4 linked regions of the Anolis sagrei genome follow. The protein of the gene in region 3 interacts with the protein of the main gene of each other region in a pairwise test. Links are inferred from orthologs where the notes say so. Each region holds a gene or a part of one and is shown on either strand. Other genes may lie near its edges. The genes, in order: RETREG1, FUNDC1, GABARAPL2 and MLX.

Region 1 (6,909 bases), on a different chromosome or scaffold from region 3:
GTTTCTCACCACAAACATTTATCAGACAGATTTCATAATATTCCTTCCACCTGTCAAGCCAGCTAATGCTTGCTGTAAAATCTGGGTGTCCTTCATTAAATTCCTTTCGCAAATGCAATGCCTTTTGCTGTAAAATAGGCCCTAAAAAGGCACACCTTTGTCTCTGAACTGTACAAAGCTTTGCTAACTTTTTCATAGTTACACTTTCTAATCTTTTCCTCTTTTTTACTGCTCAACTCTGGAGGAACACAATTTTTCTATCTCCAATCGGTTCCTTTTCCAGTCCCCTGCTATTACCCTTCCAATGCCATGGTCCTCGGCTACCTTCTGCACAATCTCTCCTTTGTCCAGTCTCTTGATTGCCTCAAGTTTCTGTTCAATTGATACAACCACGTTCTTTTTTTTTGCCTCCATACTCGCACAAAGCATAAACACTGCATAGCAAGACGCAGCAAACCCTTCCGAGTCGGATAACACAGAACGTCAGATTATCGAAGGTCGGTTAAACACGACTCTACTGTATCTGCCTTGATATTCTGAGGCCTCTTTCACACAGCTGTATAAAATCCACATTGAATTGAATGCTATGGCAGTGTGGACTCAGATAACTCAGTTCAAAACAGATATTGTGGTGAGATTAGGCAGGCCCCCACCTCAGCAGCCTTTAAGAAAAATCTGAAAACTTGGCTCTCTCGATGTGCCTTTGGGAGTGACCATGTCCCATTTTTTGTCTGTTCCATCTACAGTGTTGCCCCTATGATGCACTTTCCCCTGTTCTAAATTGAAAGCATAACCCCACTGTTCATCCTTTTTGGGCTCCTCTCAATTACTTTTTTTTTAAAAAAAATTGTATTTAAGTAGACATAAATTTGCAAGTGTTTGTTGCATACAGTGCTATACTTTCTATCTATTAATGTTCCATAATCATTTATCTGATAATATATTTCCTTTAAGGGGTCACAATCTACTATCTAAATAATACATATAAAACTATCATATATTCTTACTTTACATCCGCTTCCTCCTTGTCTACAATCTTATAGGATCCTCTATATACATTTTTAGTTGAATTTTACATTAGGATGTTGAATAATTGGTTGCCATTCATTCACAAAGTTATCTAATAATTGTTCTCCTCTTAATAATAGTTACACTTTTTTATTCCTACCTCATCCAGGGTTTTATTATTTTACCTTGTCCATTTGGCCTGCTAATTGTGTTTGGGTTGTTGTAGAATTCCGGCCATGAACGCCTTTGACAATTATTGTGTTTGATTTTACGTTTTGTCAATTTGCTTGGTTTATTTTATTTTACTACTTTATGTATTTTATTCTGATGTAATTTTTGTTGTCTATATTTTCTATTTTATTTTGCTGTATTGTATCTTTGGGCTTGGCCGCGAGTCCCCCTCAGGGAGATGATGGTGAGGTATAAATAACATTTATTATTATTATTATCATTATTATTATTATTACTATTTGAAACACAACAAGATGGGTCCACAGCAGATAAGATCACTCTGCTGGCTGTTGTATTGGATCACACATTGGACACTTCCCAAGTGTCTAGGACTGTGTGATGTATCGGTGAATAATGCATGCAGATCCCAGTAAGGTGGTCTTCTGCAGCTGGCAGATGATAATCTTGTCAATGCCAATTGTGTTTAAGTGCAGGCCAAGGTCTTTAGGCACTGCACCCAGTGTGCCAATCACCACTGGGATCACCTTTACTAGCTTGTGCCGGAGTCTTTGCAGTTCGATCTTTAAATCCTCATATCGTGTCAGCTTTTCCAGTTGATTCTCTTCAATCCTGCTGTCACCTGGGATTGCAACATCGACAACCCATACTTTGTTTTTTTCCACGATTGTGCAGTCAGGAGTATTGTGCTCCAAAACTCTAGTATTGTGCTCAAAAACTGTCTGTCTGAATTATTATTATTACTAGTCGTCCCCTGCCACGACTTGCTGTAGCTCACTCTGGTGGTCATGGGGGGTCTGTGTGGGAGGTTTGGCCCAATTCTATCGTTGGTGGGGTTCAGAATGCTCTGTGATTGTAGTTGAACTAAAAATCCCAGCAACTACAACTTCCAAATGTCAAGATTCTATTTTCCCCAAACTCCACCAGTGTTCATATTTCGGCATTGAGTATTCGTGTAGAGTTTGGTCCAAATCCATCATTGTTTGAGTCCCCAGTGCCCTCTGGATGTAGGTGAACTACAACTCCCAAACTCAAGGTCAATACTACCCAAACCTTCTGGTGTTTTCTGTTGGTGATTGGAGTCCTTTGTGCTAAGTTTGGCCCAAATTCATCATTCGTGGCGTTCAGAATGCTCTTTGATTGTAGGTGAACTATAAATCCCAGCAACTACAACTCCCAAATGACAAAATCAATTTTTTGAGTGAAGGACATACATTGGGTTGTTAGGTGTATGCTGTCCCAATTTGATGTCAGTTCGTCCAGTGGTTTTTGAGTTCTGTTAATCCCACAAATTTTTATTTATATATATATTACTACCTGCCTCGATATGCTGGGTTACATGGCTATGTGGAAGGGCCCTGAGGCTGCCTCTCTGCTGCAGATGTACTCTGTGCATGCTCAGAGGTGCCCTTTCTCCACACTCCTCCTGCATGCCTTTGAAGCCAGAGATAAACTAGGAAGAAGGGGGCAAATACAGGGAAAGGGCGGAGGGAGAGAGATAGAGAGAGAGAGAAGGAGAGGGAGGCTGCAGTGCAATCTGCGAGGCTCTCCCTCAGCGGCGCCTCTCACCAGAAGAGCAGGTTGGCGCAGAGGAAGGCGGCCAGGACGCTGAGGGGCCTCTTCCCAGTCAGCGCCGCCACCAACCAGCGCCAAGTCCCGGTGGGTTCCAGCTCCTTCCCCTCGGCCTCCGTTTGGCTCCCCAGGCGCCCTGAGGGAGAGCCCCTCCGCGCTGCTGCAGCCGCCTCCTCGCCATCCATCTCCGCTCCGTCGTCTGACAGGCTTGTCAACATCCGGGGACGCGCATCTGTCTCTCACTCCCCCCCCCCCGCTACTTGTGCGCGCGCCGCCTTCTCTTCGGGCAAGAACCAATCACAGCCCCGTGTGGGTCTGCGCGGCGCCTCTGATTGGTCAACTCGGAGATCCCAGGCTACACGAGCGCGCGGGGCTGAGCGCAGGAAGGGTTAATAGAGGGGAAACTGGGCGGGGCGGGGGAATGTGCGCGCGAATCGCTTTCGCCCGGATTTTGTGTCGGCGGGATAGAATCAACCTGTGAGGGGAGGAAACGTATTTAAAGGGATGGCATGAAGAAGAGTGGGTTTAGAACGCGCTGACGTCAACAATGTAGAAAGGGCGGGAAAGCTCGCCCTGTGTGGCAATCAATTGGGATGGCAAGTCGCTTCTGGTGCTTGCTCCATCCATGTTTAACATGTACACTGACAGAAGGGACAGAGAGTTTCATAACTGAAGGGAGATATTGACAAGCTGGAATGTGTCCAGAGGAAGGCGACTAAAATTATCAAGTGTCTGCAGAACAAGCCCTATGAGGAGCGGCTTAAAGAGCTGGAATGTTTAGCCTGCAGAAGTCAAGGATGAGAGGAGACATTTTATTTCTCGTGTCAGGGCAGCCAGTCAATTATATTACATTTCTAACAGAACAAAGCAAACAAACAGAGAAAATACAAAATGTGTGAGTTTGGTAGTTGATTAAATGTCCTTTGACCAGTATCTGGCCACTTGGAGTGCTTCTGGTGTTGCTGCAAGAAGGTCCTCCATTGTGCATGTGGCAGGGCTCAGGTTGCATTGCAGCAGGTGGTCTGTGGTTTGCTCCTCTCCGCACTCGCATGTCGAGGATTCCACTTTGTAGCCCCATTTCTGAAGGTTGGCTCTGCATCTTGTGGTGCCAGAGTGCAGTCTGTTCAGCGCCTTCCAAGTCGCCCAGTCCTCTGTGTGCCAGGGGGAAGTCTCTCATTTGGTATCAGCCATGAATTGAGGTTCTGGGTTTGAGCCTGCCACTTTTGGACTCTTGCTTGCTGAGGTGTTCCAGCGAGTGTCTCTGTAGATCTTAGAAAACTATGTCTGGATTTAAGTCGTTGACGTGCTGGCTGATACCCAAACAGGGGATGAGCTGGAGATGTCACTGCCTTGGTCCTTTCACTATTGGCTGCCACCTCCCGGCGGATGTCAGGTGGTGCGATACCGGCTAAGCAGTGTAATTTCGCCAGTGGTGTAGGGCGCAGACATCCCTTGATAATGGAGGATTTTAAACAGAGGAGACATCATAGCCTGCAAATCTCTTGGGAAGACAGGCGGACAAACGTCAGCATGCTGGAAGAAACAAAGACCACCAGCACTGAAGTGATGGTCCTCCACCATCAACTCCGCTGGACCGGCCACATTGTCCAGATGCCCGAGCACCGTCTCCCAAAGCAGTTGCTCTACTCCGAACTCAAGAACGGAAAACAGAATGTTGGTGGACAGGAAAAGAGATTGAAAGATGGGCTCAAGCCAACCTTAAAACTCTGGCATAGACACTGAGAACTGGGAAGCCCTGGCCCTTGACCGCTCCAGCTGGAGGTCAGCTGTGACCAGCCGTGCTGCAGAATTTGAAGAGGCACGAATGGAGGGTGAAAGAGGGAAACTTGCCAAGAGGAAGGTGTGTCAAGCCAACTCTGACCGAGACCGCCTTCCACCTGGAAACCAATGCCCTCACTGTGGGAGAAGATGCAGGTCAAGAACAGGGCTCCACACCCACAAGAATACTGATCCTGGAAGACTATCTGACTCGGCCAACGAGGGATTGCCTAAGTAAGTAAATATAAATATGTGAGAGGAAGTCATAGGGAGGAGGGAGCAAGCTTGTTTTCTGCTGCCCTGGAGACTAGGACACAGAACAATGGCTTCAAACTACAGGAAAGGAGATTCCACCTGAACATTAGGAAGAACTTCCTAACTGTGAGAGCTGTTCAGCAGTGGAACTCTCTGCCCCAAAGTGTGATGGAGGCTCCTTCTATGGAGGATTTTAAGCAGAGGCTGGATGGCCATCTGTTGGGGGTGCTTTGAACACGATTGTCCTGGATGGCCCATGAGGTCTCTTCCAGCTTTATGATTCTACATGTTGTCGAAGGCTTTCGTGGCCAGAATCACTGGGTTGCTGAGAGTTTTCTGGGCTGTATAGCAGGAGAAAAGAATTCAGCCATGGCAGAGCACTTGGGAAGCCAACCTGGACACAGCATATTATTTGAGAACACAGAAATGCTGGACCACTCTTAACAACCACCCTGTCAGACTACACAGAGAAGCCCCTGAAATTCACAAGCATGTGGACAATTTCGACAGGAAGGAGAAAAACATAATGGACAAAATCTGGCTACGTATTTTTTTAAAAACCCTCTAAAATCAGGACAGTAAATAAAGAGGAACGCTAAAAAAAACAAACACTAGGGGAATTCCAGACAGAAAACAACCAGGGCCAGCTAACAGCTCCCAACAAAAAATCCCCAGGCAGGAAGCAGCCAGGCTTTGATGCTGCAAGGCTGTTAGATGCTAATCAAGGTGGCCAACTGCAATATTCACATTTGCTTCAAGCAGACAAGAGTTCTTTCTCCCACTCTGGACACTCCACAGATAAGTAAACCCCACTTGCCTAGTTTCCAACAGACCTCTCAACCTCTGAGGATGCCTGCCATAGATGTGGGCGAAACGTCAGGAGAGAACACTTCTGGAACATGGCCATACAGCCCGGAAAACTCACAGCAACCCAGTCTCATCTATGCTGATGATCGTGCCATCACCACTCAAGCAGGGAGCTTTCAAATGGTTGAACAGAAGCTCTGAAGCTTTAGGTCAGTGGTTCTCAACCTGTGGGTCCCCAGATGCTTTGGCCTTCAACTCCCAGAAATCCTAACAGCTGGTAAACTGGCTGGGATTTCTGGGAGTTGTAGGCCAAAACATCTGGGGACCCATAGGTTAAGAATCACTGCTTCAGGTGCTCTTACTGCCTACGATGCAGTATGAGTCCTGCCACATGCACAATGGAGGACCTTCATACAGTGACACCAGAGGCACTTGAAGTGGCCAACTTCTGGTCCAAGGAAATTTAGCATAATGCCAAGGTTTTAACTTTGTGATTTTTATACATTATAACTGTATTCTCAATTTGCTTCTGACACTGATAAATAAACTGTCTATTACAAGCAAAACCAGCTGATTCCTAATCCATCTAAAACACAGACATGTGCTTTTCATCTTTAGTACAGACAAGCACCTTGAGCTCTGAGGATTACCTGTGAAGGAATCCCACTGGAGCATTGCAGCATCCCCAAATACCTGAGAGTCACCCTGGACCACGTACTGACAAGAAGCACTGCTTGAATGAATATCAAGCAGAAAGTGGGCACTAGAAATAATATCATACAAAAGCTGACCAGCACAACCTGGGGATCACAACCAGACACAGTGAGACATTTGCCCTTGCACTTTGCTACTCTGCTGCTGAGTATGCATGCCTAGTGTAGAATACACCTCACCAAGTTAAAACAGTGGATGTGGTTCTTAATGAGACATGCCACATTATCACAGAATGTCTATGGTTTTTAATATGGTTTTTTAAATAATATTATGCTGAATGTTTTAATTGTATTTTTATGAATGCATGGCATCAAATTCTGCCAATTCTGGAAGCCGCCTTGAGTCGCCTTAGGGCTGAGAAAGGCATGCTACAAATACTGTAAATAAATAAATAAATAAATAAGCCCTACACCACTAGAGAAATTATACTGTTTAGCCGGTATTGCACCACCTGACATCTGTTGGGAAATAGCGACCAGTAATGAAAGGACCAAGGCATTGACATCTCTGGCTCATCCTCTGTTCAGATATCAGCCAGCATGTCAATGATTAAATGAAGAAATAACTTCCTAATATCTACAGAGA
Region 2 (7,851 bases), on a different chromosome or scaffold from region 3:
CATTAAAACAGCCCTGTCCTCTACTGATCTCAGCAAATTACAGGAAAAAACTATTTGCTACCTCAGGATCAGAGGCAGTCGGTCTTCAACTTGGAAAGGTTATTTTTTCTGGACCTCCATAATTAAGCTGTAAGATTCTAATCCAAACAAATTTTTTGAAGCTGTGGGGTTTCCAAAGGCAGCATGGGAAGGATTAGATAAACATCTGGGTAAAATTTGATTGACTAAAAATCCTAAACACTCTTTGTAGGAAATGTGTCCTCACTGCACAGTATGAAAGGCTTCTCATGAGCAAACCTTCTTGCCCAGAGTGGTAGATTTCAAAGAAATAGGCTTTTTGGTCTCTTGTACCATAAAAAGGAAGGGAAAGAAGAAAATAAAGGAAAGGAAATGTGGCAGTATCAAAAAATGAAAAAAGTTGGTTCAGTGGTTCTTAAACACAGAGGTGTGACCATCGGTGGATTGTTGCTCAAAGCAGGAACAAGAATTTTCCAGACATTAAATTATTATTCAGAAAAATGGTTCCTTATCAAACTCATTTGTTGAGTAAAACTTCCAATTTGAATGCTGTATCTGCATAAAATGTTGAAATACAAATATACAAAATATGCATGCTGGACAAAAAAGTATTCATATACAACATAATTACATTGAGTTGGGGGGGGGGGATTTATGTCCCCATGTAGATGTGATGGGAGGAAAACTGAGAACTTGTGAGAATAAATCTACACCGCAGAATCAATACTGTTTCGTACCACTCTACTTTCCTTGACTAAGTGCTATGAAATCCTGGGATCTGCAGTTTGGTGAGACACCAGCACACTTTGGCAGAGGAAGCTTGTAAAATTGCCACTCCCACAATTCAATAGCACTGAGCCATAGGAGTTAAAGTAGTATCATTTCCATTAATTTTGCAGTGTACATCAGACATGGGCAAACTTTGGCCCTCCAGGGGTTTTGGACTTCAACTCCCACAATTCTAATAGTCTCGGGCCCATTCCTTTCCCCCCTCAGACGCTTAAGCTGAGGGGGAATTGCTGGTGCTTAAGCGGCTGAGGAGGAAAAGGGGCTTGAATGTGTTAGGAATTGTGGGAGTTGAAGCCCAAACCCCCCTGAAGGGCCAAAGTTTGCCCATGCCTGGTGTAGATGAACTCTTGAGTCAAATATGCTGCCACATTTCCTTTCTTCCTTACTTTTTCTTCTTGGCTAGAGACCAGCTGCACTGCAGAATTATACCAGTTTGACACCACTTTAAAGGCCATGTGGCTTCAGGGCTTCCAGATAGAGGAAAGCAATTATTTCACAGAACTGCAACTCCCACAATTCCATAGCACTGAGCCATGGGAGTTGAAGTGGTATCATTTCCCTTTTTTTTTTTTTTTTTGTCGTGTCAGGAGCAACCTGAGAAACTGCAAGTCGCTCCTGTTGTGAGGGAATTGGCCGTCTGCAAGGACGTTGCCCAGGGGACACCCGGATTTATCATACTTGTGGGAGGCTTCCCGCATGAGGAGCTGGAGCTGATAGAGGGAGCTCATCCGCCTCTCCCCGGATTCGAACCTGCAACCTGTCGGTCTTCAGTCCTGCCGGCACAGAGCTTTAACCCACTGTGCCACCGGAGGCTCCATAACATCATTTCCATTAATTCCACAGTGTAGACATGGGCCCACCAGGGTTTTTGGACTTCAACTCCCACAATTCCTAACAGTCTCAGGCCCATTCCTTTTCCCACTCAGCCGCTTAAGCTGAAGGGGAATTGCTGGTGCATAATAATAATAATAATAAACATTATTTCTACCCCGTCACCATCACCCCGATGGGGACTTGGAGCGGCTTACATGGGGCCAAGCCCAGACAACATATTACAGCAATAAAATCAAAGCATATACAACAGACAACAACATCATTATCAAAATTACATTAAAAAGAGAGAAAAAATCGTAAAATAAACATTCCAATAAACACAATCATGGTAGTGATGACTATGGGCGGGCCACATATTCAGGATAAAAACGGTTAACAAACCATGATCAGATAAAATAGGAGCAGGACGTTTATAAGGGACTCATAAAACACACAGAGTTGTGAAGCTGAACATCCTATTTGGAGGGCACAAACTCCATTAGCAGAAAACGTTGAGGGGTGCAAAATATCAGCTTAAGTGGCTGAGAGGGAAAAGAAGGGGCCTGGGGCTGTTAGGAATTGTGGGAGTTACAGTCCAGACACCCTGGAGGGCCAAAGTTTGCCCATGCCTGGTGTAGATGAACTCTTGAGTCAAATCCTAGATGTGCTGCCACATTGCCTTTCTTCCTTGTTTTTCTTCTTGGCTAGAGACCATCTGCACTGCAGAATTATACCAGTTTGACACCACCCTAAAGGCCATGGTTCCATTCTATGGAATAATGGGATTTGAGCTTTATTGTGGCTTCAGGGCTTCCTGACAGAGGAATGCAATTCTCTCACAAAACTGCAACTCCCAGGATTCTACAGAACTGAGCCATGGCAGTTAATGTGGTGCCAAGTAACTGTGATTCTGTAGTGTGCACGCAGTGTCTGTGCTGTCCCCTCCCCACTGCCACCCGAGCTTTCCTTCCTTCCTTCCTTCCTCTTTGGGGCCTGGAGGAAAAGGCTAGGCCAGGCCAGGCCCCGCCTCCTCCGTCGCAGCGCAGCCAATGAGCATGGCCCTTTCCTCTCTCTAGTTATTTCTCTCGTCAGCCCCACAGCACTGGCTCCAGGAGGGCAGGGCTATCACGAGATGGGGGGAAGGATGAGTGGGAAGGCTCCGAAGTCTGCGCGGAAAAGGCCAAGCCAACTCCGCTCCGGGGGACCAGGAGGGCACCATGGCAACAGCACCCGGCGCGGCCCAAAGAGGCCCCCACTGACCTGAGGCGGAGCGAGATCGCCGAGACGCCATGTTGGCAACTGGAGGGCGGGGGGAGGAGGAGGAGGAGGTCCCCGGATGCTCCGCCCACCAGCTCTGTACAGGTTCGGCGCTCTAAGGCCGCACAAGACTGCGCATGCTCACAACACAGCCAGGCCTCCCTCCGCCTCTTCGGGCTTTGTGGCCTTCAATGCGTGACGTCATCATGGAGGCTACACCCCTCCTCCCGGGGATTATGGGGAATCTGTTTTTTTCTTCCCTTCTGCTGAAACCAAGGTCTTGCTGCTTCAAGTCTGCAGAATTAATGCAGTCTTACCCCACTTTCACTGCCATGCTGAATGTTACTGGAAAGGGGGCTCCTGCTTTTGGGAAGTGTTTTGGTTTCTTTGCCCCTACACTATGAAATCATGGGAGTTGTAGTTTGGCAAGGACCTTAGCCTTCTCTGTCAAAAGAGGGGGATGCACCAAAACTTCCAACTCCCAGGATTCCATATAATGGAGTCATGGCAGCTAAAGAGGAGTCAGATTGCATGAAATCTAAGGTGTAGATCAGGCCTGGGCAAACTTGGGCCCTTCAGGTGTTTTGGACTTCAACTCCCACCATGCTTAACAGCCTCAGGGTGCTTGCCAAAGTGCAGGCGAAACGTCAGGAGAGAATGCCTCTAGACCATGGCCGTACAGCCCGAAAAAACCTACAACAACCCAGTGATTCCGGCCATGAAAGCCTTCGACAATACATTAAATAAATCCTTTTTGGGCCTAGAGCAGAATAAAGGAAAAGGAAGGAGGCTGATTGAGTTGGTGTCATGTGACTGGGAAAGAAAGGGATTGAAGCAGATTGATTGGCTGTTGCTAGGTGACATATATAAGAGGAAGGGAGGAAGGAAGGGGAAAGAAAGAAAAGATAAGAAGGAAGAGAAAGTGAAGGGGAAATGAGTGAGGAGAGAAAAGAGACAGATGGGAGGGAAGAGAGAAAAAGGGAAGAGGAAGGAAGAGAAAGAAATGGAGGGAAGATGTATGACGGAAAGCAAGGGAAGAAAAAGAGAGTTGCATGAGAGAAATGGGGGAAGGAAAGAAAGCACCACAAACAAAGCCTGCCCACCCTGGCCAGAGTGTTGCCATGGAGACATTGTGATGTGGGCCTTCTCAGAACTGAAGAAAGGAGAAAGCAGGTAGGCAGTGCTACTTCCCCGTGCCCCCCCCCCCCCAACACCCAGGCAATGTGGGCTATATAGACTAAAATGTCAATGTAGTGAGATATCTTGAAGATGGGCCCCAAATCTAAACAATATTCATTTATGTTTAACTAGCTGTACCCGCCATGCGTTGCTGTGGCCAACCTTCCCTCCCTCTTTCTCTCCTTTCTCTCTTTTGTTCCCTTTTTTCCTTTTCTTCTCATCTTTTTGCTTTTTTGGCTTTTTAAGTCCCTTCCACTGTGTTTTTCAGTGTTTTATGAGTGATGGTCACTCGTTGGCCTGATCGGTGTATTGTGTCCAAATTTGGTGTCAATTTTTGAGTTATGTTAATCCCACAAACTAACATTTCATTTTTATTTATATAGATACTAGCCATCCCCTGCCACACGTTGCTGTGGTCCAGTCTGTTTATATGTGTTTTATATGTGTATATGTGTGTGTATTTTTGTGTATATGTGTGTTTGTGTATATATGTGGTTTTGTGTGTGTTGTATTTTTTTGTTATTTGTCTTTTTAAGTCTCTTCTGCTGTGTTTTTCAGCATTTTTATGAGTGATGGTCACTCTTTGGCCTGATACATGTATTGTGTCCAAATTTGGTGTCAGTTCGTCCAGTGGTCTTTGAGTTATGTTAATCCCACAAACGAACATTACATTTTTATTTATATAGATACACCCTATATGCAGATACACCCTGAAGAATGATTTTCTACACAATATTTTTGAATAATTCTGTGCAAGTTTTAATGTATCTGTAGGGCAACATCTTTGAGAATCATATTGAGCTGTGGTGGTTAATGTGGTGTCAAACTGCCATAATTTTGCAGTGTTGATAAAACCTGGGAAAGGAAAGCGTAGATGTGGAGATGGGTTTAGGTTCCAGTTGGTGGATAAGGCTGGTAGAGGCCCAGTAAAAGGGAGGAATGGCCCAGCTCACTGCCTGAGGCAGCCACCTGGATTTATCTGATATAAGAGAGGGAACCCTGTGGCCCTCCAGATGTTGTTGGCCTCCATTTCCCAGCAATCCTTACCATTGCTTGTGCTGGCAGGAGCTGCTGGGAGTTGTGTTTTTGTTGGGGTTTTTTTTCCCTCCTTGCTTCAGGTGGCAGGCAGACTGCTAAACTAGTGGTTGTCAAACTATAGTCCTCTAAATTTGGGGACTTCCCTAAGCATTGGCCATACTGACAGACTTCTGAAGTCCAAAACATTTGAAAGACTAGTAGTTGGGAACCAGTGGCCTGCCATCCCCTTGAATTCAGGCAGTCTTGGGGTGCATCTATACTGAAGAATGAATGCAGTTTGACACCACTTTAACAGGTCTAGCTAAACGGTATGGTATCATGGGGGTTGTCGTTTTACTAGGTCTGCTAAATAACTGCTGCCTCTCCAAACTACAACCCCCATGATTCCATAGCTTTGAGGCATAGTAGTTAGAGTAGAGCCAAACCCTAATAGACACACTTCCAGTCATGTAGAAAATGGAAGAAGCTCCAGAAGCTAGAACCTAAAACCAATGAATTCAAACCACAGGAAAAGTAACTCCACCTAAACATTAGGAAGAACCTTACTGCTGTAATACCTGTACAAACAGTGGAATAAATGATTTTAGAAGGTGATGGACTCCCCACCTTTTAGAGGTCTTTAAACGATTGTTGGATGTGCATCTTTCAGAAGTGCTTTGGTTGTGTATTCCTATAAGGCAAGGAGTTGATATATGGCTCTTGTTTTTTTGTTTTGTTTTGGGGTTTTCTTTCCATATCAGGAGTGACTTGAGAAACTGCAAGTAACTTCTGGTGTGAGAGAATTGCCCGTCTGCAAGAACGTTCCCCAGGGAACGCCCGGATGTTTTGATGTTTTATCATCCTTGTGGGAGGCTTTTCTCGTGTCTCTGCATGGGGAGCTGGAGCTGACAGAGGGAGCTCAACCCGCTTTCCCCAGATTCAAATAGCTGGCCTTTCAGTCATCAGTCCTGCCGGCACAAGGGTATAACTTACTGCTCCACCGGGGCACCCTTGTGATCTCTTCCAACTATAGCTGGATCTACGCTGCCCTATATCTCAGAATCTGGTCCCAGATTATCTTCTTTGAACTAGATTATATGAGTCTACACTACCAGATAATCTGGAATAAGAAGAATACTGGGCTATAAACAATGTATTTTAATATTGAGATAAATGTTTTTATTGTTTATGTATACATATAATGAATTCTTGTCCCGGCATTGAATGTTTGCCATATATTTGCTGCCCTCTGCCCTGAGTCCCCTTTGGGGTGAGAAGGGCAGAATATAAATGTTTTAAATAAATAAATATAGGGCAGTGTACATCCAGTCTAAGATGAATTTACTTGGATTACTTTAGGTCACCCAAGCCAACCTTACCTAACGTTGTTGACATTTTAAAGAAAGAGTCATGTGTTTTAGCTTTTGATTCTAAGACAAAAAGGGAAATAAAAATATATTGGCAATAAACAATAATATTTTGTGGGTTGTGTGTCACCTACATTTTAAAATTGAATACTTATATAAAGGGCGGAAGAGTCAAAGTAATCATGCATTTCTAGTAGTGCTTCAATGTATGAATCTAAAACCATGTGATTATTTTTTACTTTTTTGCTGACAATGCATATGGACAAGCTTTTTCTTTTTCAATAGTTAGAGTCTGCATTCTTTTTTCATGTACAAGATTAGCAAAACAATTAGCAGAGCAACTAAAAATAAAAGCATAAGACTGATTTATTTAAAACTGGAGGCAATAAAAAGATAAACTCTGTAGCAGCAACAGCAGAAATTGGTGCAGTGTTGAGCATATCTATCTAATTTTCATAGATTTTATTTATTTAGTACATGTAACAATGCATTCCTGTTCTGTGTATTTCACTAGGTTGTTGCAAACAGAAAACATTAAGAGAGCAGATCCCACGGGAAAATGGATGAAGTTACTTCAGCTTGGAACCATGTTCTGTGCTGTATAAATGATCCCAGAACCTTACTTGTGCCAGTATAAACATGAGTAAATCATGAGTCAGTCACCATTCCTTACCAAGAGGTATAAATAAACACACTGGCCCTTTTAGGTATTGCTCTGAAATTTAAGCCATGAACGATCCCATTCTACCTTTTCCCTAACCAGGAAAACTTGCCATAATTTGTGTATGCATGTGTGCAAAACCAAAATGTATAATACTTTAAAAACAATAGTTTTCCAATAGTTTTGTTCCAGTGTAACTTTATTAGAAATAATATCAGTCAATATCAGTCAATAGGTTGCTGTGAGTTTTCTGGGCTTTATGGCCATGTTCCAGAAGCATTCTCAACCACGAAAGCCATCAACAACACAAGATCAGTCAAGATTGGGTTATTTGGTCATAATTTCTTCAAAGACTTCATATGCCTCTCTTTGGCAGCAAGGTCTCTCAGAAGTGTTGAAAACCACAATAGATTCTTAGAAAACATTTAGCAGTTCATGGTACTGAACTAATAATAATCTGAGACTGATGCAGGTTTATTTCTTCGTGCCTATAAGCATGAAGTGTTTCTCCGATTTGTTAAAATACTTGTGTGCTACCTTTCATTTTTACTAATCTTGCTCAAGGCTTTTACTAATCTTGAAACAAAACCCATATTGCTGTAGCATTCAGTAATGCTAATAAAATGGCACAGAAGAGCATTCAAATATTTCAGAGTCCAATGGAAAACAAGGTTTACTTGACCACTGCATTTATAAGACTGGTATGACAATAACTTTATTCTTTATTGTCCTCTTTCCAGGGGAGAACGT
Region 3 (7,842 bases):
AGGGTACTCAGGGTGTTTACACATAAGAAGGCAGACATTCAATGCCAAAGTGAGTACAAAACATATCAAAAACATATTAAAATACATGATAGAGCACAACAATAACAGGGGTTTTTTTTGTCGTGTTAGGAGCAACTTGAGAAACTGCAAGTCACTTCTGGTGCGAGAGAATTGGCTGTCTGCAAGGACGTTGCCCAGGGGACGACTGGATGATGTGATTTTTTTTATCATCCTTGTGGGAGGCTTCTCTCATGTCCCCGCATGAGGAGCTGGAGTTGATAGAGGGAGCTCATCCACCTCTCCCTGGATTTGAACCTGCGACCTGTTGGTCTTCAGTCCTGCCGGCACAGGGGTTTAACCCACTGCGCCACCCTTGCCTCCAACAGCCACTGGGGGCTCCAACAACAATAACAGTGAATTAAGCATCGAGATAAAATATAACAGAATACTAAGTAAGACATAATTAACTAAAACATAAATAAACATTACAACAAATACCCTCAAAACAGTTTAAAATACAGTTACAATAAAAATGGCTGGCACCGGTGTTCCTCTAAGACAGGGGTCAGGAACCTTCGGCCCTCCAGGTGTGATGGACTTCAACTCCCACAATTCCTTGAGGCTCGGCATTCGCCCCAAAGGCTTACCTTGGCCTCAAGGAATTGTGGGAGTTGAAGTCCACCACACCTGGAGGGCCGAAGGTTCCCCATGCCTGCTCTAAGATGTATTGTGGCAGCCATATAGTGCAAGTGGAGTTGGCCATAATTCCAAATTTGATGAACAATCACGCCCTGGACTCCTCACCTGCAGCTGGTAGGAGAAGGTCAGCAGGAGCTGGACGCCCACGACTTGCTCCGAGGGCCGCAGAGGGAGCTCCAGGCGTAAGGAAAGCCGGTCCATCAGGCCGTCATGGTCTGCGTCCTCCTCCCGGGCCTGAAGAATGAAGGAATGGATGGAAGCGGGCAGAGGGCCTGACTTCCCGCCATGGAAAAGGAGGAAGGAAGGACCTGCTTTCCTACCGAGATAAGTGGGAGGCGTAGGTGGTCACCCAGAAGCCGGTTGCAGGCTGCAAAGGAGCTCCACCCCACGAAGCCCCCACTGCCCTGCTCTCCAGCCAGAAGCCCTGTTAACAGCACCTCATGCTGAAAGCGGACCCTGGGCTGCTCCTCGTAGCTGCTCCGCTTCAGCCAGAATCCTGTGGGGATGGAAGGAAGGCGGGTAGGCAGCGTTTTTATCCAAAGGATATTTTATTCTTTTTCAAATTTTATTTTACTTTTCAAGAATGACTTTTCAATTGTAATGACTTTGCAAAACACAATAAAATGTATAGCAGGTGAACATTTAGAAACCAAGTTCAAGTTATTATGGTCAATGGAACTCATTGCCCAGTGAGATTAGGAAAGCCCCCACCTTAGAAATTTTCAAGAGGGATCTCAAAACCTGGCTTTTCCAACACGCTTTTGGAGAGTAGCCATATTATCATACACAGTTGCTCCCCCTCAACTGTTTCTGTCCCCAGAGTATATTCCCCACCTGTATGAAGGTCTATATTTATGACCCCGTTCCTTTACGAGTTTCTCCCCCACAAACAATCTGCTCCATCCCTATCTCATCCTGATTTTAGTATTTTTAGTATCTTTGTTTTTATCTTGCACATGAGGCCCATCATTGTTATGTTATTTTATTTTACTGTGTATGATTTTGCTTTATCGTCTTTGCACTCATATGTTGTATGTATTTTACTATGTTGTTATTGTGTTTTGGTTTTACTTTATTGTAATATGCTGTTGGGCTTGGCCTCATGTAAGCCGCCCCAAGTCCCCATTGGGGAGATGGTGGCGGGGTATTAAATAAAGTATTATTATTATTATTATTATTATGACTGGTTTGAGAAAACAGATACAATCCCAACAAAGGATTCTCCCAGATAGGAAGCAGCCAGACTTTGAAGCTGCAAGGCTATTCAATGCTAATCAAGGTGATTAATTGCAACATTCACCCTTGCCTCCAACAGACAAGAATTATTTCTCCTGCCTGGGACATTATTCCAAAGATATATAGACCTCACTTGCCTAGTTTCCAACAGACCTCACAACTTCTGAGGATGCCTGCCATAGCTGTGGGCGAAATGTGAGGAGAGAATGCCTCTGGAACATGGCCATACAGACAAGAATCAATCAGGGCCAGCTAATCACCGGTGATAGTATGATAGCTGGGTCCGGAAGCTCTGAACGTTACCAAGATGCCGCAAAGGTGGCTGTGAATAAGGGAAGAGAGGGGACGGAGTGAGAGCAGGGAGAGCGAAGAAAGGTTAGAAAGGAGGGGACACTTAGGGTAAGGGTTAGGACAAGGTTCAGGGTTTGGGTTAGGGTTACAGTTAAGGTAAGGGTTAGGGGTTATAGTTAGGGTATGGTTTAGGGTTTGAGTTTCGGTTAGCATAAGGGTTAGGGTTTCACCATTAAAGAACTCTTATATTCCTTTTATGTTATCTGTCTCTGGCCTGGCTTACATTAACTAAGTCTCTCTTGCGCAAACAGTGCTCCCGAAGGAGCGATGTGGCATCTCCGTAACACTCGGAGCTTCCGGACCCAGCTATCATACTATTACCTAATCACCTCCCAACAAAGGATTCCCCAGGAAGTAAATAGCCAGACCTTGAAGCTGCAAGGCTATTCAATGCTAAGGAAGAGTTCTTGCTCCCACCCTGGACCTTCCACAGTTATATAAACCCCACTTGCCTAGATTACATTTTTAAAATTTTTATTGTTCATTGTTTTTATGATTTTAAATATACTGTAATGTTTCTTTTTTCTGCGTTTTATCAATGTATGCATTTTATATATGGCATCAAATTGTGCCGACTCTATACGCCGCCCTGAGTCGCCTTCGAGCTAATATGGGCGGGATAGAAATAGCATAAATAAATAAATAAATAACAGACCTCACGCTGAGGATTCCTGCCATAGATGCAGGCGAAATGTCAGGAGAGAATGCTTCTAGAACATGGCCATACAGACAAGAATCAATCAGGGCCAGCTAATCACCTCCCAACAAAGGATTCCCAGGGAAGTAAATAGCCAGACCTTGAAGCTGTAAGGCTATTCAATGCTCCTACCATTGCCTCACAACCTCTGATGATTCCTGCCATAGATGCAGGCGAAATGTCAGGAGAGAATGCTTCTGGAACATGGCCATACAGACAAGAATCAATCAGGGCCAGCTAATCACCTCCCAACAAAGGATTCCCCAGGAAGCTGCAAGGCTATTCAATGCTCCTACCCTTGCCTCACAACCTCTGAGGATTCCTGCCATAGATGCAGGCGAAACCTCAGGAGAGAATGTTTCTGGAACATGGCCATACAGACAGGAATCAATCAGGGCCAGCTAATCACCCCCCAACAAAGGATTCCCAGGGAAGTAAATAGCCAGACCTTGAAGCTGCAAGGCTATTCAATGCTAATGAAGAGTTCTTGCTCCCACCCTGGACCTTCCACAGTTATATAAACCCCACTTGCCTAGATTCTAACAGACCTCACAAACTCTGAGGATTCCAGCCATAGATGCAGGCGAAACGTCAGGAGAGAATGCTTCTGGAACAGGGCCAGCTAATCACCTCCCAACAAAGGATTCCCCAGGAAGTAAATGGCCAGACCTTGAAACTGCAAGGCTATTCAATGCTCCTACCCTTGCCTCACAACCTCTGAGGAGGTTTGCCATAGATGCAGGCGAAACGTCAGGAGAGAATGCTTCTGGAACATGGCCACACAGACAAGAATCAATCAGGGCCAGCTAATCACCTCCCAACAAAGGATTCCCCGGGAAGTAAATACCCAGACCATGAAACTGCAAGGCTATTCAATGCTCCTACCCTTGCCTCACAACCTCTGAGGATGCTTGCCATAGATGCAGGCGAAACGTCAGGAGAGAATGCTTCTGGAACATGGCCACACAGACAAGAATCAATCAGGGCCAGCTAATCACCTCTCAACATAGGATTCCCAGGGAAGTAAATAGCCAGACCTTGAAACTGCAAGGCTATTCAATGCTCCTACCCTTGCCTCACAACCTCTGAGGATTCCTGCCATAGCTGCAGGCGAAATGTCAGGAGAGAATGCTTCTGGAACATGGCCACACAGACAAGAATCAATCAGGGCCAGCTAATCACCTCTCAACATAGGATTCCCAGGGAAGTAAATAGCCAGACCTTGAAACTGCAAGGCTATTCAATGCTCCTACCCTTGCCTCACAACCTCTGAGGATTCCTGCCATAGCTGCAGGCGAAATGTCAGGAGAGAATGCTTCTGGAACATGGCCATACAGACAAGAATCAATCAGGGCCAGCTAATCACCTCCCAACAAAGGATTCCCCGGGAAGTAAACAGCCAGACCTTGAAGCTGCAAGGCTATTCAATGCTAATGAAGAGTTCTTGCTCCTGCCCTTGCCTCACAACCTCACAACCTCTGAGGATGCTTGCCATAGATGCAGGCGAAACGTCAGGAGAGAATGCTACTGTAAGCCCGGAAAACTCACAACAACCCAGTGATTCTGGCCTTGAAAGCAATCCCTCCCTTGTTTTTCGTGGATCCTCACCGTGGCTCCGGAAGGCCACCAGCAGCGGCGAGAGGACGACCAGCACGCCTAGTAAGAAGAGTGCTGTTGCTGCCACCGCGCTGCGCCTCTCCTTAGCCATGGCGCGGCTCCGTCTCCACGGCAACGCGAAAGACAGGAAACGGGGTCTAGGGGGCGGGCTTTCGTGCGGCCGTCCAATCAGCAAGGCGCCTCGGAGAACTCGAGCGGAAGTCCTCCCGACAGTGAGGGTTGTCGGGAATCTTGACAACCGGAAGTCACACCCTGTATTCCGGAAACGGGGAGCAAGAGCTGGAATCTCTGTCGTCGTCGCCGTTGTTGTGGCGTTGGAGGCCCGAAAGAAAGAGCGCGACCCCCGCCCCTCCCTCCTCCGCGCCATGAAGTGGATGTTCAAGGAGGACCACGCGCTCGGTGAGGAAGGAAGGCGGGAGGGAGGGAGGGAGCCGGGCCCGGACAAACAGGAAGGAAGGAAGGCAAAGAAGGGGGCCGGGCCTTTCCTTTCCCTCAGGGATTCTTGATTCCCATCCTGCCTCCTCACTAAGTGGTTCATTATAGCAGCTACACAAAATACAACGCAGAAGGAATGACACTGTGGAAAACAACAACAACAACAATAATAATCCTCAGTTCTCGTGGGTTTTTTCTGGCTATATGGCCATGTTCTGGAGGCAATTTTTCTCCTGACGTTTCGCCTGCATCTATGGCAAGCATCCTCAGAGGTAGTGAGGTCTGTTGGAAGTAGGAAAAATGGGTTTATATATCTGTGGAATGACCAGGGTGGGACAAAGGACTCTTGTCTGCTGGAGCTAGGTGTGAATCTTTCAACTGACCACCTTGCTTGTATGCTAATCAAGGTGGTCAGTTGAAAGATTCACACCTAGCCCAACTTACAAAAGCCCTTTGTCTCACCCTGGTCATTCCACAGATGTTGTTGTTGTTGTTCATTGGTTCAGTCGTCTCCGACTCTTCGTGACCTCATGGACCAGCCCACGCCAGAGCTCCCTGTCGGCCGTCACCACCCCCAGCTCCTTCAAGGTCAGTCCAGTCACTTCAAGGATGCCATCCATCCATCTTGCCCTAGGTCGGCCCCTCTTCCTTTTGCCTTCCACTTTCCTCAGCATAACTGTCTTCTCCAGGCTTTGCTGTTTCCTCATGATGTGGCCAAAGTACTTCAACTTTGTCTCTAGTATCCTTCCCTCCAATGAGCAGTCGGGCTTTATTTCCTGGAGGATGGACTGGTTGGATCTTCTCGCAGTCCAAGGCACTCTCAGCACTTTCCTCCAACACCACAGCTCAAAAGCATCGATCTTCCTTTGCTCAGCCTTCCCTAAGGTCCAGCTCTCACATCCGTAGGTGACTACAGGGAATACCATGGCTTTGACTAGGCAGATCCACAGATATATAAACCCCTTTTTCCCAGTTCCAGCAGACCTCACCTCTGAGGATGCTTGCCATAGAGGCAGGCGAAACGTCAGGAGAAATGCCTCTAGAACATGGCCCTATAGCCCGAAAAAACCCACAAGAACTGAGTGATTCCAGCCATGAAAGCCTTCGACAATACAATAATAATAATCTTTATTTATATCCCGCCCCATCCCCCCCGGAAGGTCTTGGAACGGCTTACAACATAAATAAATACAATAAATAACAAATACAGAATAAAAGAAGGCAGATCATAACATGACAAGTCGATATAAAAGAGGAAAAGGAAGAAAACAAAACAGGCAAATTAAACAATAAGCTGTTATGTTTGTTTATTTATTTACGAGCTTGGATTATGATTTTAGTTATGAGACGCTAGTGAGTTTTTTATTGATGTTTACTGATGGTTATTGGTGTTAATTGCTTACTGTATTATTGTGTTAATTGTCTTTTAAATGGCTGTACGATGTTTGCAATTAATTTTTGCCGCTTCTTGTTGTTAACCGCTCTGAGTCGCCTAATGGTTGAGAAGAGCGGTATACAAATAAAGTAAATAAATAAATAAATAAATTTATTTACTGTATTGTCGAAGGCTTTCATGGCTGGAATCACTAGGTTCTTGTGGGTTTTTTCGGGCTGTAGAGCCATGTTCTAGAGGCATTTCTCCTGACGTTTCGCCTGCATCTATGGCAAGCATCCTCAGAGGTATTTACTGTATTTTTATACCGCCTTTCTCAGCCCGTAGGCGACTCAATGTTAGGCCAGTGGTTCTCAACCAGTGGGCCCCCAGGGGTTTTGGCCTACAACTCCCAGAAATAATAATAATAATAATAATAATAATAATAATGTATTGTCGAAGGCTTTCATGGCCGGAATCACTGGGTTGTTGTAGGTTTTTTCGGGCTATATGGCCATGGTCTAGAGGCATTCTCTCCTGACGTTTCGCCTGCATCTATGGCAAGCATCCTCAGAGGTAGTGAGGTCTGTTGGAACTAGGAAAAGGGGTTTATATATCTGTGGAATGACCAGGGTGGGACAAAGTTTATTTATTTATTTGGTAGTTTTGTATACCGGTCTTCTCACCTCCATTCGAGGGACTCGGGCCGGTTTCCAACATCAATATTACAGACCGTCATTAAAACATCATATTTCTAAATCACACTAAACCATTAAAACATTGAAACAATTAAAATGGCAAAAATACAATCATATGATTACAGTGGTCAGTCGTCATCAAAGTCATTATTCATCATCAACCATCCATATCACAGGATCATGGCTCATTCGTTGAATGCCAATCCCCAAAGCCAGGTTTTCACCTGTTTCCTGAATGTTAAGATCGAAGGGGCAGTTCTGATCTCCAGTGGAAGAGAGTTCCAGAGTCGGGGGCCACGACCGAGAAGGCCCTGTCTCCCGTTCCCACCAGCCGCGCCTATGAGGCCGGTGGGATCGAGAGCAGGGCCCCTCCAGACGATCTTAGTAATCTTGATGGCTCATAGGGGAGGATACGTTCGGACAGGTAAATTGGGCTGGAGTCATTTAGGGCTTTATAGGATAAGGCCAGCACTTTGAATTGTGCTCGGAAGCTGACTGGCAGCCAGTGGAGCTGGCGCAACAGAGGAATAGCATGCTCCCTGTGCCCCGCTCCCGTTAGTAATCTGGCAGCCGCACGTTGGACTAATTGAAGCTTCCGGGCAGTCTTCAGAGGCAACCCCACGTAGAGAGCGTTGCAGTAATCTAAACGGGATGTAACCAAAGCGTGGACCACCGTGGCCAAGTCAGACTTCCCAAGGTATGGGCGCAGCTGGCGCACGAGGTTTAATTGTGCAAAA
Region 4 (7,685 bases), on a different chromosome or scaffold from region 3:
GTCGATTTGTTGTAAAACATAATGTTTTGTTGCTTAATTTGTAAAATCATAACATAATTTGAGGTTTTAATAGGCTTTTCCTTAATCCCTACTTATTGTCCAACATTTTCGCTTATCCAATGTTCTGCCGGCCTGGTTATGTTGGATAAGTGAGACTCTACTGTACAAAGAAATGTTGCAGTATATCCTTCCTAAAACAAATGCTTGTGTTAAGTTCTGGTATTTCTGCATTAGAAGACTGCTGTTCAGGGGGACCACACCCAGCCTTCCTGTTATGATATATATAAGTAGAAAACTAACCTCAACCCTTGTAAAAGATAACAACACAATGGAAAAGTGTGAGCCAAAATATCAATTTTCTTCTTCTTCAAATATCCCTATGTGGTCCAAATTGGGGTTTAACCTCAGAGCCCCCATTCATAGAATCTTTATTCATTTCTTCCAGGGTGAGGCAGCATAACTTCCTTTTTTAAAATGCGCGCCATTCAGTCGGTTGAAGACGTAGAGGAGTGCTAGTGGTCTCGTTTGAGAGGCGGGAGTATAAAGTTTTGTCCTGACACAGTTCAGTCGCACATCATGCGTTGGAACAGTGAGGAGCGTGCTTTTGCCATTGAGGCCTACTTTTCGAGCGGATTTGGAGTTGTCAGCCCGCTCTCCAGATTTGGCCCCTTGTGATTTTTTTCCTTGGGGAGTTTTTGAAATCCGGTGTTTATGTGAACCGTCCAAGGACCCTACAAGATTTGAAGACCAACATCCAGGAAGAAATTGCCAACATAACAACTGCTATAGGTGGTACTTAACCCCTTACAAAATGTCAAAATGTTATAAAAACACTTCAGACAAATGTTGGAAATGTGGGCAACAAACTGGAACATTTTTCCACATTTGGTGGACCTCTTCAAAAGCAAAAAAGTTTAGGACAGAGATCCATATGGAAATACAAAAAATACTAAATATATAAAAATAGAAAAAGAACCGGTCCCCCCCCCCCCCCCCCCCCGGAATTCCCTGCCTAGGGAAATCAGACAGGCTCCTACTTTGTCCTCTTTCTGGTGTCAACTAAAAAACTTGATATTCCGGTAAGCTTTCAATTAAACAGTCAACCTGTAACTTTTTCCTGCACTTTATGTTTGGCCCTCTTATCATCCACCTCAACACTTTGATGACACTATTCCTAGTCCTATCTACTTGATTGTTGCACTTTCCTTGCGCTCCTCTTCAGGATGTATTGCATGCAAGGCACCTAAACCTCAGCTATATTTTTTCTCAGCCATATTGTTTGATATTGCTTACAATTGTGTTTGTTTTTATATTTTACCTGATGTTTTTAAATGTGTGTTTTATTTGTAATTTTGGGGCTTGTCCTTTGTAAGCCGCCCCGAGTCTCCCTGGGGAGATGGTTGGCGGGGTATAAAAATAAAGTTATTATTATCTATATAAATAAAAATGTAATGTTCGTTTGTGGGATTAACAGAATTCAAAAACTACTGGATGAATTAACATGAAATTTAGACACTATACCCCTAACAGACCAACAAGTGATCACTCATAAATCACCATGCCCCCCCCCCAAAAAAACTGGAAAGGACTTAAAAAAAAACCCAAAAGCTAAATGACAATACAGAAAAAAGGAAGAGGGGGGGAAGGAAGGGGAGAAAGAAGGAAGGAAGGATAGAAAGAAAGAGGGAGGAAAAGAAATCTGGAGGGGGGAAGGAAAGAAAGAGGTAGAGAAGGAAGAAGGAGAGAAGAAAAAAAGGAAAAGGGAAGAGGGAATGAAGGAAGGAGGGAAAAAGGAGAGAAAGAGGTGGGAAGGAAAGAAAGAGGTAGAGAAGGAAGGATGGAAGCAAAAAGTGAAGGAAGGAAAGAGGTAGAGAAGGAAGAAAGGAGAGAAAGGAGAAGGAAAAGAACGGGGGGGTGAGGAAGGAAAGAGGGAGCGAAGGAAAGAAGGAAAGATGGAAGCAAAGAGTGAAGGAAGGAAAGAAAGAGGTAGAGAAGGAAGAAAGGAGAGAAGGAAAGAGGGAGTGAAGGAAGTAGAGAAAGAGAGAGGGAAAGAAAGAATGAAAGAGAGAAGGAAGCATGGAAGCAAAGAGCGAAAGAAGGAAGAAAAGAGGTAGAGAAGGAAGGAAGGAGAGAAAGAGGGAGGGAAAGAAAACGGGAGGGGGAAAGGAAAGAAAGAGGTAGGGAAGGAGAGAGGGAAAGGAAAAGAAGGAAAGAGGGAGGGGAGGAAAGACAGAAGGAAGAATGGAAGCAAAAAAACAAAAGAAGGAAAGAGGTAGAGAAGGAAGGAAGGAGAGAAAGAGAGAGGAAAAGAAAACGGGAGGGGGAAAGGAAAGAAAGAGGTAGGGAAGGAGAGAGGGAAAGGAAAAGGAGGAAAGGAAGGAAAGAGGGAGGGAAGGAAAGACAGAAGGAAGAATGGAAGCAAAAAAACAAAGGAAGGAAAGAGGTAGAGAAGAAAGGAGAGGAAGAGGGGGGGAGAAAAAGGGAGGAAGGAAAGAGGGAGCAAAGGAAGGAGGGAAAGGAGAGAAAGAGGGAGGGAAGGTTGGCCACAGCAATGCGTGGCGGGTACAGCTAGTTATTATTATTATTATTATTAAAAATGGCAACACAAATGGCTGCCAGCCAAATGTAGGCGCAGCAGCTGCTGCTTAAACATCTCCTCAAAACAGGTGAATTGTTTATACTTAAGATTTAATTAAACCCTTTGTAAATCTAAACATAACACAAAGAGGAAGCCCCTCTCTCACGCACTGGCCTAAGGTTAGTTTAGCAGACGGAATGGTGCCAAAGCTGAGGTTTGAAGAGACATTCTTCGTATGCTCAGAGGCTACTTTACATTTCTTCGCCCGAAAGGACAAGGAAGTCCCTGACCTCCACAGGCCTGCGATGCACTTCGAGACCCAGGCCCAGCCCCTCCCAGCTCCACTCACTTTTCCTACCCAAGCATTTTCCGAAGAGACGCTGGACGGTTCCGCCATCTTCCCACAGCTAGGCCACAATGTCACGTGTCCTCCTGGCACTGGCCAATCAGGGCTGGGGGGAGGGTCCTCCCGGAAGAGTCGCGTCGAACTGCAGAGGTTTTTGGGAAAGGTAGTTTTTCCTCTTCTGCCGGACAAATCCTGCAGCCACCTGCTTGTCTTCAACGTCATTTCCTGTTTACTATTGCAATACACCATCCCCAGACCGGAAGTGAGAGTTATCCTGAAAAATTAATGGAGAGGGACAGAAATTGCAGTCACTACGGCTGAATCTAAGCTGCCCTGTAATCCATCTTCAGAATGTGGATAAACTGCATTGATCTGGATTGTAGGCCAGTATAGATTACTATAATCCGATTCAATTTAGTTAATCCACATTCTGAATCTGGATTATAGGCCAGTGAAGATCCAGCCTTTGTCCCCTTTACTACAAGATCCCTCAGCATTTGTTTAATAATATCTTTAGTAAACCACCAATTTTATTTATTAGGAAACCACACAAAGAGTAAGCACAAAATTCATTTCATATTATTATTTATTTATTTATTTATTTACCTTACTTATATACCGCTGTTCTCAGCCCGAAGGCGACTCACAGCAGTTCACAACAAATATGAACAGCAAAAATTCAGTGTTACAGTATAGAAACAGTTAACAACCTAACACATTACACAATTAATAAACAGTTACTACAATACCCATTCACTATCGTCTCGTCATCAAAAACATGTTCCAGATTCGTCATCCATTGTTCCATTCCAGTGTTCATTAACCAATCATTCCACTAATTATTCGAACACCTGCTCAAACAGCCAGGTCTTCACCTTTTTTGTGGAATACCATTAGAGATGGTGCTAGTCTAATGTCCGTAGGAAGGGCGTTCCACAGCCGAGGAGCCACCACCGAGAAGGCCCTATCTCTCGTACCCGCCAGCTGAGCTTGAGAAACAGGCGGGATCGAGAGCAGGGTCTCCCCGGAAGATCTCAAAGTCATATATTTATATCCTGCCCATCACCACCCAAGCAGGGAGCTTTGAGATGGTTGAACAGAAGCTCTCTGAAGCTCTAGGTGCTCTTACTGCCTATTACAGGGAAAACCAGCTGATCCCCAACCCATCCAAAACACAGACATGTGCCTTTCACCTTAAGAACAGACAAGCACCCCAAACTCTGAGGATTGCCCAGGAAGGAATCCCACTGGAGCATTGCAGCACACCCAAATACCTGGGAGTCACTCTGGACCGTGCCCTGACCTACAAGAAGCACTGCCTGAATATCAAGTAAAAAGTGGGTGCTAGAAACAATATCATACGAAAGCTGACTGGCACAACCTGGGGATCACAACCAGATACAGTGAAGACCTCTGCCCTTGTGCTATGCTACTCTGCTGCTGAGTATGCATGCCCAGTGTGGAACTCATTACACCACACTAAAACAGTGGATGTGGCTCTTAATGAGACATGCCGCATTATCACGGGGTGTCTGCGCCCTACACCACTGGAGAAATTACACTGTCTAGCCGGTATCACACCACCAGACATCCGCTGGGAAGAAGCAGCCAATAGTGAAAGGACCAAGGCAGAGACATCTCCAGCTCATCCCCTGTTTGGGTATCAGCCAGCACGTCAACGACTTAAATCTAGACATAGTTTTCTAAGATCTACAGAGACGCTCGCTGGAACACCTCAGCAAGCGAGATTTCAAAAGTGGCAGGCTCAAACCCAGCACCTCAATCTGTGGGTGATACCAGATGAGAGACTCCCCCCTGGGCACACAGAAGACTGGGCGACTTGGAAGGCGCTGAACAGACTGCGCTCTGGCACCACGAAATGCAGAGCCAATCTTAAGAAATGGGGCTACAAAGTTGAATCCACGACATGCGAGTGTGGAGAAGAGCAAACCACTGACCACCTGCTGCAATGCAACCTGAGCCCTGCCACATGCACGATGGAGGACCTTCTTGCGGCAACACCAGAGGCACTCCAAGTGGCCAGATACTGGTCAAAGGACATTTAATCAGCTACCAAGTTTGCAAAATTTGTGTGTTTTTTTTATCTGTTTTTTTGTTTTGTTCTGTTAGAAATGTAATACAGTGTTCTGGTTGTGGATGACACATACATAATAAAATAAAAAATAAAAAAAATACCAGGGTGGGACAAAGGACTCTTGTCTGCTGGAGCTAGGTGTGAATGTTTCAGCTGACCACCTTGATTAGCATTTGATGACCTGGCAGTGCCTGGGGCAATCTTTTGTTGAGAGGTGATTCGATGTGCCTGATTGTTTCCTCTCTGTTGTTTTGCTGTTTTTAATTTTAGAGTTTTTTTTTATGGGAAATCTCTTTTGGCACCTCTCACTTCTAATCTGGAGAGAGGTTTAATTGTAGGCATTGTCAAACTGCGGGCCTCCAATTCCAAAACCATTTTGTTCTATGGTCAGGAATTCTGAGAGTTAGAGGTCCAATCAACGAGAGGACAGAAGTTTGAGGCTGCCTGCTTATGACACCGGAAGTCTGCCGAGAGCGGCATTCTAACCTTTTATAAGTTTAGGGGAATACACCGGAAGTAAGGCGTAATGCGTGCGACGCTCTTACGCTAAGGGACGCACGGAGGGGAGAACCGGAAGCGCGTCTGGTTAGCGGTGGGGGCGGCGGCGTGTTGCCATGGCGGACCCTGTAGAGGAGCTTGCCAAACTCGAGTACCTCTCGCTCGTCTCCAAAGTCTGTACGGAGCTCGACAACCACCTGGGCATCAACGACAAGGACCTAGGTGGGTGCCTGGGTGGCGGGGAGGGACGGGCCCCCATTTTGCGCACCTCCCGGAGCTGGGGAGCCTTCCCTGCCACCTCCTTGTGTCCCTCATCGAGCAGCAGAGCTTCTGTACCAGAATTCCTCAACTTCTGCCCATCCAAGTTGTTTGGACTTCAGTTCCCAGAATCCCTCCTCGTTGACCAAGGCAGCTGAGGCTTCTGGGAGTTGAAGTCCAAAGTCCTGAGAATCTCTGGAAGGCATCCTTGTTCTTATACCAGGCATGGGCAAACTTCGGCTCTCTAGGTGTTTTGGATTTCAACTCCCACACTTCCTAACAGCCGTTGTGGGAGTTGAAGTCCAAAACACCCGGAGGGCCTAAGTTTGCCCATGTATTTATTTGTCGTGTCAGGGCAACCAGTCAATTGTATTATATTTCTAACAGAGCAAAACAAACAGTCAAAACACAAAATTTGCAAGCTTAGTAGTTTAGTAGTAGTAATTTTTATTGATTAGCCCTTAGGCCATATCACAATAAGAAACAGAACAACAAGGCCTGACAAGACCTGATCACACTCCACGTAGAAAGTTAAAATAAGACACTTATAATAATACAGTAAATACATATGATAAGACATGATAAAACTGATAAACTGATCAAGCTGAGTGTATACATCATATTTCATTATCACCCCTACAATTTACCCCAATCAGCCCTACATATGTGGTTCTCAGACGTATTGTTTTGCTTAAGTACAGAGCTGTTTTATACGTTATTTTTGGGTCTTGGCCACACATAAAATATGTTGTTCTGATGTGAGAATCCCAATACATTGTCCGTTTGATATATGGACCAAGGTGGAAGTCTCTCACCTTTTGATACAATTTGCAATCAAACAATGTGTGTGCTATATCCTCAGTTTCGGGTGCCCCGCAGATACAACTCCGTTCATTATAAGGGATGCTGTTAAATCTCCCGTATCTAACCATTGTCTCGAGCTGATCAAATCTGGCTCGCGTGAATACCTCCCTGAGATGTTTTGGTATTTGCATTTTTAGATAATTAGCAGTTTGAAAGGTGAAGTTTAGTAGTTGATTAAATGTCCTTTGACCAATATCTGGCCACTTGGAGTGCTTCTGCTGTTGCTGCAAGAAGGTCCTCCATTGTGCATGTGGCAGGGCTCAGGTTGCATTGCAGCAGGTGGTCAGTGGTTTGCTCTTCTCCACACTCGCATGTCGTGGATTCAACTTTGTAGCCCCATTTCTGAAGGTTGGCTCTGCATCTCGTGGTGCCAGAGCACAGTCTGTTCAGCGCCTTCCAAGTTGCCCAGTCTTCTGTGTACCCAGGGGGGAGCCTTTCATTTGGTATCAGCCATTGGTTAAGGTTCTGGGTTTGAGCCTGCCACTTTTGGACTCTTGCTTGCTGAGGTGTTCCAGCGAGTGTCTCTGTAGATCAGTGGTTCTCAACCTTCCTAATGCCATGACCCCTTAATACAATCCCTCCTGTTGTGGCGACCCCCAACCATAACATTGTTTTTGTTGCTACTTCATAACAGTCATTTTCCTACAGTTATAAATCATAATGTAAATATCCGATATGCAAGATGAATTTTCATTCACTGGACCAAACTGGGCACAAATACCCAATGCACCCACATGTAAATGCTAGTGGGGTTGGGGGAGGATTGGTTTTGTAATTTGGGAGTTGTAGTTGCTGGGATTTATAGTTCACCTATAATCAAAGAGCATTCTGAACTGCACCAGCGATGGATTTGAACCTAATTTGCCACACAGAACTCCCATGACCAACGGAAAACACTGGAAAGGTTTGGTGGGTATTGACCTTGAGTTTGGGAGTTGTAGTTCACCTATGTCCAGAGAGCACTGTGGACTCGTGCAATGGTTGATCTGGACCAAACTTGGCACAAACACTCAATATGCGAAAATGTGAACACTGGTGGAGCCTGG

The links.
Region 1: the proteins of GABARAPL2 (region 3) and RETREG1 interact in binary tests that used the Homo sapiens proteins (3 or more experiments, as listed by UniProt). The link is inferred for Anolis sagrei from reciprocal best matches to the Homo sapiens genes GABARAPL2 and RETREG1.
Region 2: the proteins of GABARAPL2 (region 3) and FUNDC1 interact in binary tests that used the Homo sapiens proteins (3 or more experiments, as listed by UniProt). The two-hybrid records come from large-scale screens. The link is inferred for Anolis sagrei from reciprocal best matches to the Homo sapiens genes GABARAPL2 and FUNDC1.
Region 4: the proteins of GABARAPL2 (region 3) and MLX interact in binary tests that used the Homo sapiens proteins (3 or more experiments, as listed by UniProt). The two-hybrid records come from large-scale screens. The link is inferred for Anolis sagrei from reciprocal best matches to the Homo sapiens genes GABARAPL2 and MLX.

The regions. Positions count from the first base shown.
Region 1 is NC_090024.1:100,715,112-100,722,020, reverse strand, and holds the start of RETREG1 (reticulophagy regulator 1), read right to left. Parts: upstream 3,017-6,909; 5' UTR 2,988-3,016; coding exon 2,767-2,987; intron 1-2,766. UniProt on the Homo sapiens protein: Endoplasmic reticulum (ER)-anchored autophagy regulator which mediates ER delivery into lysosomes through sequestration into autophagosomes.
Region 2 is NC_090023.1:77,008,964-77,016,814, reverse strand, and holds the start of FUNDC1 (FUN14 domain-containing protein 1), read right to left. Parts: upstream 3,002-7,851; 5' UTR 2,912-3,001; coding exon 2,881-2,911; intron 1-2,880. UniProt on the Homo sapiens protein: Integral mitochondrial outer-membrane protein that mediates the formation of mitochondria-associated endoplasmic reticulum membranes (MAMs).
Region 3 is NC_090028.1:29,634,300-29,642,141, reverse strand, and holds the start of GABARAPL2 (gamma-aminobutyric acid receptor-associated protein-like 2), read left to right. Parts: upstream 1-4,830; 5' UTR 4,831-4,965; coding exon 4,966-4,999; intron 5,000-7,842. Other genes in the region: TMEM231 (transmembrane protein 231), read right to left, coding at 805-933, 1,020-1,195, 4,592-4,691. UniProt on the Homo sapiens protein: Ubiquitin-like modifier involved in intra-Golgi traffic. Modulates intra-Golgi transport through coupling between NSF activity and SNAREs activation. It first stimulates the ATPase activity of NSF which in turn stimulates the association with GOSR1.
Region 4 is NC_090026.1:51,084,791-51,092,475, forward strand, and holds the start of MLX (max-like protein X), read right to left. Parts: upstream 3,021-7,685; 5' UTR 2,976-3,020; coding exon 2,928-2,975; intron 1-2,927. Other genes in the region: ATP-dependent RNA helicase DHX8, read left to right, coding at 5,634-5,739. UniProt on the Homo sapiens protein: Transcription regulator. Forms a sequence-specific DNA-binding protein complex with MAD1, MAD4, MNT, WBSCR14 and MLXIP which recognizes the core sequence 5'-CACGTG-3'. The TCFL4-MAD1, TCFL4-MAD4, TCFL4-WBSCR14 complexes are transcriptional repressors.